Styela clava: one gene and its partner. The protein of the gene in region 1 purifies or fractionates together with the protein of each later gene. This does not show direct contact. Links are inferred from orthologs where the notes say so. Each region holds a gene or a part of one and is shown in the gene's direction. Other genes may lie near its edges.

Evidence for each region. Proteins that work in one complex are often made in the same cells at the same time.
Region 2: the proteins of vacuolar protein sorting-associated protein 33A-like (region 1) and vacuolar protein sorting-associated protein 41 homolog purify together in Homo sapiens (affinity purification with mass spectrometry; 5 studies listed by BioGRID and IntAct, counting the BioPlex papers as one, with this or other methods). This does not show direct contact. The link is inferred for Styela clava from reciprocal best matches to the Homo sapiens genes VPS33A and VPS41.

Annotation. Positions count from the first base shown.
Region 1 is NC_135257.1:17,181,024-17,184,782, forward strand, and holds the start of vacuolar protein sorting-associated protein 33A-like, read left to right. Parts: upstream 1-1,038; 5' UTR 1,039-1,140; coding exon 1,141-1,242; intron 1,243-1,806; coding exon 1,807-2,085; intron 2,086-2,190; coding exon 2,191-2,412; intron 2,413-2,927; coding exon 2,928-3,108; intron 3,109-3,759.
Region 2 is NC_135252.1:10,828,557-10,832,315, reverse strand, and holds the start of vacuolar protein sorting-associated protein 41 homolog, read left to right. Parts: upstream 1-1,310; 5' UTR 1,311-1,393; coding exon 1,394-1,429; intron 1,430-1,801; coding exon 1,802-1,897; intron 1,898-1,977; coding exon 1,978-2,061; intron 2,062-2,755; coding exon 2,756-2,896; intron 2,897-3,444; coding exon 3,445-3,630; intron 3,631-3,759. UniProt on the Homo sapiens protein: Plays a role in vesicle-mediated protein trafficking to lysosomal compartments including the endocytic membrane transport and autophagic pathways. Acts as a component of the HOPS endosomal tethering complex.

The DNA of each region.
Region 1 (3,759 bases):
ATAAGAACTACCGGTAACTGTCATCCATCTCTCTCATATCGGGATCGTTGCGACGAGAAAACGAGAGAAATAGCTCTTCGATTTCGGGTGCCCGTCTCGAATGACAGTTCGTATAGTTTGAAGGGCTCTATTACGTCACTGTGAGGTCGTACTGACGTAATTTTTAGGTGGCGTAGTCAGATGGGGGTTAGGATTGACAGATAAAAATTGTTATGCTACGTCCACTAGAAGTATGTTAGGTACGAAACTACATGAGACCCCATTTTTGTTGGGTCTTATTTGAGCAGTTACGGCGTTTATTTCTCATCGCAATTTTGTTAGGCGCTATTTAAGCAATTACGGCGTTTACGTTACTAGACCCTTCATTTTCACACCACATTTCTGTTTACTGGTTTAGGGGTAGTTACAGACTTAAGCAGTTACGGCGTTTGCTTCACGAGACCCCAGTTATTTGTTTGAGATGCATGGACTTAACGATAGAGGAAGATATACCGTACAGATGAATATACCGACCAGGAGTTACTGAGTTATGTGAACCCACCCTTAGATCATAAGATGGAGAATGATTGATTGGTCAGTTACCGTAGTAGGGGAATCCAGCAATCTTCTGGCATATAGCCTAATTGTCCTCCACCGCATTCAAACCAGCGAATGATAATCCAGTAATCAGAGGTCAGGAGGTGCAATGTCAGAATGTCAAGCATATTCCTAACCCATTAACCCTTAGCATGCTACACCAACCTTTGAAAACTACAATTTGTTTGTCTTAAATGCATAAAATGGAACATGCAGCGGATAAATAATGCGTTGTATTATTGCAAATAACTGATTTTAATATATTGACATTGCATATGAAAACAAACAAAAAATATCTAAATTAGAGACTATTGAGTGATTGGTATGTATTGTCATATTGTGGCTAGTTTTTTCAATAATTGACTTGCTCATAAGACTGTACAGCCCGACAGCTGTAGGATAGCATAATTTATACATAACCTATATTTTGTATTTACTGTTTTTACGCTTTCATAATCTACAAAATAATTCATTAAAGAAATATGAAGCTTATTGCTGTATTGTAACTAGGTATTTGATTTGAAGCCATTGTGATTTTTCCTTGAAAAAGGCACAAGCAGTGCCATGGCATCTCATCTCTCTACTGGTGTGGTAAACCTGGCAATGGTCAGGGAAGAAGCAAGACGAGAATTGTTACGTTTACTTGACAAGTGTGCTGGACCGAAGGTAGATCTACTATAGGATTTTATTTTGGAAGTTGAAAAAATTACATTATTAACTCGTATGTTAAACAGGGTGCCATCTAGCCTCCATTGAAGGTTTAACTTTTCATGCTCATCACACCATACTAACCCAGTCGGACTGCCCATTGGATTAGCCTTTGGTATCACAAGATGATATATACGAAAATTTGAGGTGAATGTATTCATGCAACATTCATTTTTTCATACCACGCATGTTTTATGATGTCTATTCATGACGACCAAATCCCTGCCCTAGCAACCATTGATATCTAACTACAGTAAAGAACTACTATTTTTTCATAGGGAACGCTATCTGTCTTGTTAAGCATTGCCTACCCAATTCATCACACTCTTGATGAGGTTTGCGGGCATGGGATTCGAACAGACTATGACAACACATGCTTGAACCGCACACATTTATTTATATTACATTCGAATAAAAATCTATTCGCATTATATTATCAAAATAAGCGATGGCTATTGTTTTATTACCAGCTTTATATGTATCCTCTTTAGCCATGATCTCATTAAAATATTACCTTTCTAGGCATTGGTTTGGGACTATGCTCTCACAGATCGATTTGGTCTCATTGCTGAGTTTCCGCTGCTGAAAGAACATGAGGTTGAGAGAATGTTTCCACTTGCTGGAGGAAAACTTGCAAAATCTACTGTACAGCATATTATATTTATAACAAGGCCAAAATTAGATCAAATGGACTTTATTGCTCAGAATATACAGAGAGAGGAAGATGGAACAGGCTTTGGAAAAGAGTTTCACGTTTTCTTTGTACCGTGGAAAAGTTATCTTTGCCTTCAAAAGCTGGAGGTATTATTTCTTCGATCAAACGAGTGGCCGTATGATTACTGCCTTGTCGACTTTCCTTCCCCCAATGGGTTAAATATGAAATAAAATTGCTTTTATTTTTACCAGGAACTTGGAGTTTCAAGCATGCTGAAAAATATAGAAGAATACAGACTTGATCTTATTCCTCTGGAGTACGATCTTCTGTCTATGGAACATTATTCTTCATTATTTGACTGCACAATCAATGAAGATTACTCGTCACTTTATTTGGTTGCTAGAGCATTGAACAGCTTACAGAAACAGTTTGGAATTATTCCAAATATTCATTGCAAAGGCAGATATGCCCAGGTATTCTATGTGTATAATCTTACATTTGGTATATGGTTACATTATTAGAATTTACCATATAAGTATTTAATTTTGGCGTGATGGCATTTGAACATAAAATCCCATTAAAATATTGAAATATATCAATCGCAATTCCAAAATATTGCTTTATTTTTTATAGGCTTAGTCATCTATTTTCAGACAGGGATAGTGAACCACTGACCCATTGTGACACACCATGTCATTTTCGCCAATTCATGATTTATTTTAAAGAACATGCTAACATTTTTAATGATAAAAAAAATTTCGTAATAAGGCCACCCTTAATTCAATCGTCCAATAAGACACAACGCAGGATTATATAAGACTTGTCGAAGAGATGCAACAGCAAGTTTTTTATTGATGCAGACATTGTATAAATCTATGACGCTAAATTTTTCATCGAAACATGAAATAAAATATTTATTATTATAACCTTTGGATATCACCTCCCTGACCAAGCGAGTACTAAATGTAAATTTATTTTTTATTCATAGATGGTTTGTGAAATTATGAAAAGAATCCGACTTGAATCAAAAAGTAGTGAAGATGAAGGAGAGGTTCCTCCACAAATTGATAGATTATTGATTCTAGATCGTTCTGTTGATTTGTTGTCGCCGCTTGTTACCCAACTGACATACGAAGGATTGATAGATGAAGTTTATGAAATTAAAAATGGTAAATTTTTGATCAGCAAGTATAGGATGATTAATATTTTAAATTTGATCATGTTCTACTAGGGCCCTGGGGTCAAAGTTCATTATTTTTGCACTGGATTCAGAGTTGGAGCTGGAGACGTATTTTTCTAACTCCCCACAGTGGAAATTGTGAATGCCCTGGAGTCTTTAATTGGAGTTGTAGCCTTTCTCAATGGTGATAAATAAAGTCAAAACTTTTCACTAAAACTCAATGGGCATCTATTTTACTGGTGCTCCAGAAGTATGTGTACCAATATGGAGGTGACTAGTTTTGTTCGCCTACTTGGCATCAAATTGTGTAGGGAGGGACTGAAGCCCATGGGGGTATATGCACTTGGCTAACACAGAAAGTACCTGAACTCCCTAAACTATCCCTGTAAATAACTAAAATAAGGAAAATCGAAATAAAATTATGGCCTAACCCTAACCTAGTACACATACTACGGGAGTACCGTTTTAGTAATCATTCTTAGCAGTCTATTAATGAAGGCTTGCATACGCCAAAGTTGTGTCATCAAAATTTGATTTTCCTGGAGATGGAGTTGAAATTTTCTACAACCCGAAGTTTTGTTTTCTGTATAGAAGTCAAGTGCATCCTATTTACTTGTAATCCTTATCTTTTATTATGCCT
Region 2 (3,759 bases), on another chromosome or scaffold:
AAAATTAAAATTTCATAACGATCGGCGCGTTTTTCGCTGTTTCCATGGAAACGAAACCCCCAACCGGACTTCCTATAAAACTCACAATACTAGGGTGACAGGATAGCCCGCGTGAAAAATTTCATCTCAATTCGTCCAGCCGTTTAGACGCTACGCCCAAACAGACAGACAGATACACAGACAGACACAGAACGACCGATAATAAGGGTCTTCTAGAGCGGAGATCCAATAGTTTGTTTCGACAACTCCACAATATGATAACACAAAAAAATTGAAAATGGAGAATTCTGGAGAACGAGCAAAACCTTTAAATATAAATATGTAAATCTTATCCCATCCTAACGGCCGTGCTTTCCAGATTGGCACGATGCCTGTGAGAGGTGTTGGGAGCCTAAAAGTCTCATTGCGCGCAGCGCATCACGCACAGTGAGGCGCATTAGGAGCAGCGCATTGGGCACAGTGAGGCCGCATTAGGATCAGCGCATTGGGCACAATGAAGCCTCATTAGGAGCAGCGCATTGCGCACAATGCGAGATCGCATTACTGCATTAGGAGCAGCGCATTGGGCACAGTCAGGATTGACAATTCATCCATCCATTTTACCATTGTTTATGGAATCTATAATGACAAGCCAGACTCGACTTTTAGATAGTAGCAACAGTGATTAATTTGCTTTTTCAGTCTTTGAGAGCATCACATTATGTGTAGCGCATTGGGCACAGTGAGGCCGCATAAGGCATAAGGCTGTAAGGAGCAGCTCGTTGGGCACAATGCGTAGTCGCATTAGGAGCAGCGCATTGGGCACAGTGAGTTCGCATTAGGAGCAGCGCATTGGGCACAATGCATACCGGTAGTCGTATTAGGGGCAGCGCATTATGCACAGTCAGGATCGGCAATTTACCATCCATTTTACCATTATTTGTGGAATCTATATCTGTATATTGTCGAGCAACAATTGGATCTCGACTTGTAGCCTAAGCCTAAATAGTGTAGCGAATGTGCATTGTGTAACTATGGATCACATGTATTTAACCTTTTCATACTGTTAGTATGGTATATTTCACAAAATAGGCCACTTTATGATTCGCGACAGCGAGAAAGCCTACATTCTATAGCGAGGCCGTAGTTCGCCATATGGATAAGCCGTCTTATCGGCTTTCCTCTCCCCCGAGATAAATACAGAAATATGTAAATCCTATCCCGCCATGGTTTTGCGGCAGCTTCCGGCCCTCACCAAAGTAACTGCACTTGCTCGGACAAGCAGTTTACCACAATGACAAGAAATGAATCCAAGATTCAATTAATTCTGTAATTCTTGTTATAAATAACTAGTTTCACCTAACCTATTTCTGTATTTACAGTATTTAAGTCACTCATTTGTGTGAACTAAAAGATGTCATCTGACAGTGATATTGATTCGGAGTCGGAGGTGGGTCATTTTATTATCACTTCTGCACTTACAGTAGCTTCTAAATTGAGAAATTACTATATGTCAGATATGTCTTATGTTGCTTTTTACAATAAACTATATGTATTCATGGCTTTGTTATATTTGAAAAAGAGTCATTACAATCGAGAAATATTGTATAGAAAGAAGCTGATAAAGGATGAGAACATGAGCATTGAAGGGATTCTGTCCCTGCGTTTACTAGCAAATCTTGAATTTCATTGTTTTGTGCCTTTAAACTTTTGTTTTCATTTTTGTATTAAACTATCTAGACTGATTTTAATGACTCATAAACACATGAGATGATGAGAATTATACTCAAACTATACTGAACTAACCAATAATTTTTATCAGGAAGAAGAACCTCAATTGAAATATGAAAGAGTTCGCAATGATCTTCTGAAAATTTTATCAGAAGATGCAGCATCATGTGTTGTTATGCAATCCAAGGTAAGATAACATTGTGAGCATTTTTATCCTAATTTTTTCGTTGGCAAAATTCTTTTATTTATTGTTTTTGTTCTATTCAGTTTGTTGCACTTGGAACACACTGGGGGAAAATATATATATTGGATCATAATGGCAATAAAGTCACAAGCAAACAATTTGAATCGGTAAGCTTATTGAGTTCTAATTTTGCGCAAAAAAAATGGCATTTGGTTGTTTTATACTTGATACACCAATCAGTTTTCAGTATCATATTCTTCGTAGACATGAGAAGGCTGCACCCAGTTAATGTTGCTGCTTATAGTTATGGTAATTGAACTTGCTTATCAGTAATTAATTCCGAATTTCATTCAATGATTTTGCTTTCCATGTGTCTAATTCAGCATTTTCCAACTGCGTAGGTTCTGGGCCAGGAAATTTCAAATTATATTTGCATTTAAATTGTAATATTACTAATATTCTTCACATACTCAGTATTATAGTATGCACATATTATAAAGTGTTCGAATTGTATAAAAGATAGTACAAGTTATGCCTATCAGCTATCACAATCCATTATTGATCCAATAAAACTTGAATGACAAACTGAAACCAAGTTTATGTGTATACATAGTGACTAGATGATGAAGAGTTTAAAAATAGGGAGGACTACATAAAAAAAGGATTGAGAACCTCCGGTCTAATTCAAACTACAGACCCTCGCTTCGAAACATTGATTTAAAAAAGACTTGGGAATGCCAATAATTGCTAAATCTTTTTATTTAATGGATTGTTTCACTTCATTGTGGTTCATTTCAAATTTCTATATTGAGAATAGTGACTTTTTTAGGTTTGTGTAATCTGAAAAATTAAATTACACAGCACAATACTCAAGTCACTGGGATTTCTCTTGATGAAGGCGGCGAATATTTAGCAAGTTGCTCAGATGATGGAAAAGTCGTTGTTGTCGGGCTGTATTCTGATACTGAAAACATCTCTATAAATGTTGACAGGCCTGTGAAGGTATGGTGGTCTGAATGGTCTTTAGTAAGAGATATAATAAACCCCAAGTTTCAAGCTTCTGTGTAAACATCTAATTTTGGTTCAGTTTACACTTCTAAGCACATAAGGGTTCACTTATATTTATGTTTTCCCTTGATTATAACATGTCTGAGATCGCTTGGGCTTAGTTAAGTAGTAAAGTTGGGTCAAATATTTGTTTGTAAGGTTGTAGTTTGTGATGGAAAATCAATAATTACTGGTTTCAAAATTACCCATGTGTAATTGTTTGTATATCAAGTGCTTTCAACTATGTTATACTTTAGTTAGATTGACACAAAAATAAATGCTTGCTGGGTATTCGGAATGGATATTTATTTATTCCACATCTCAAAATCATTAAATACAATTGCCATGCCATACAAAAACGTTTAGATAAACCTCTTTTTTAAAGTGTTTTTGGAATTGCTTCAACTTAGATACTCAGCTGCTTTAAATAGCATTCTGATATTAGAAAATAAATCCCTTCTGCTCTTTCTCTAAGATTATGAATGCGATTTGCTGTTTTACAGTCTGTTGCTCTCGATCCAAGCTTTTCAAAAAATAGTTCTAAGCAGCTGGTTTATGGTATCGACAGTTTGATTTTATATGAAAAAGGCTGGCTTGGAAGATCTAAAACTACAACACTACATACTGGTGAAGGATTAGTTAGAAACATCAAGTGGAAAGGTCATCTAATTGCATGGGCAAATGACTGGGTAATTTGGAAGTAGTATTAAAACTTGGTTTATTTATTATATATACAATTAAATAATACAAGTTCTATTTTTTCTCAAATCAAATTATTTTGAATTTTGGTATTGCTCTCAGTCTTACTTTATTAATCG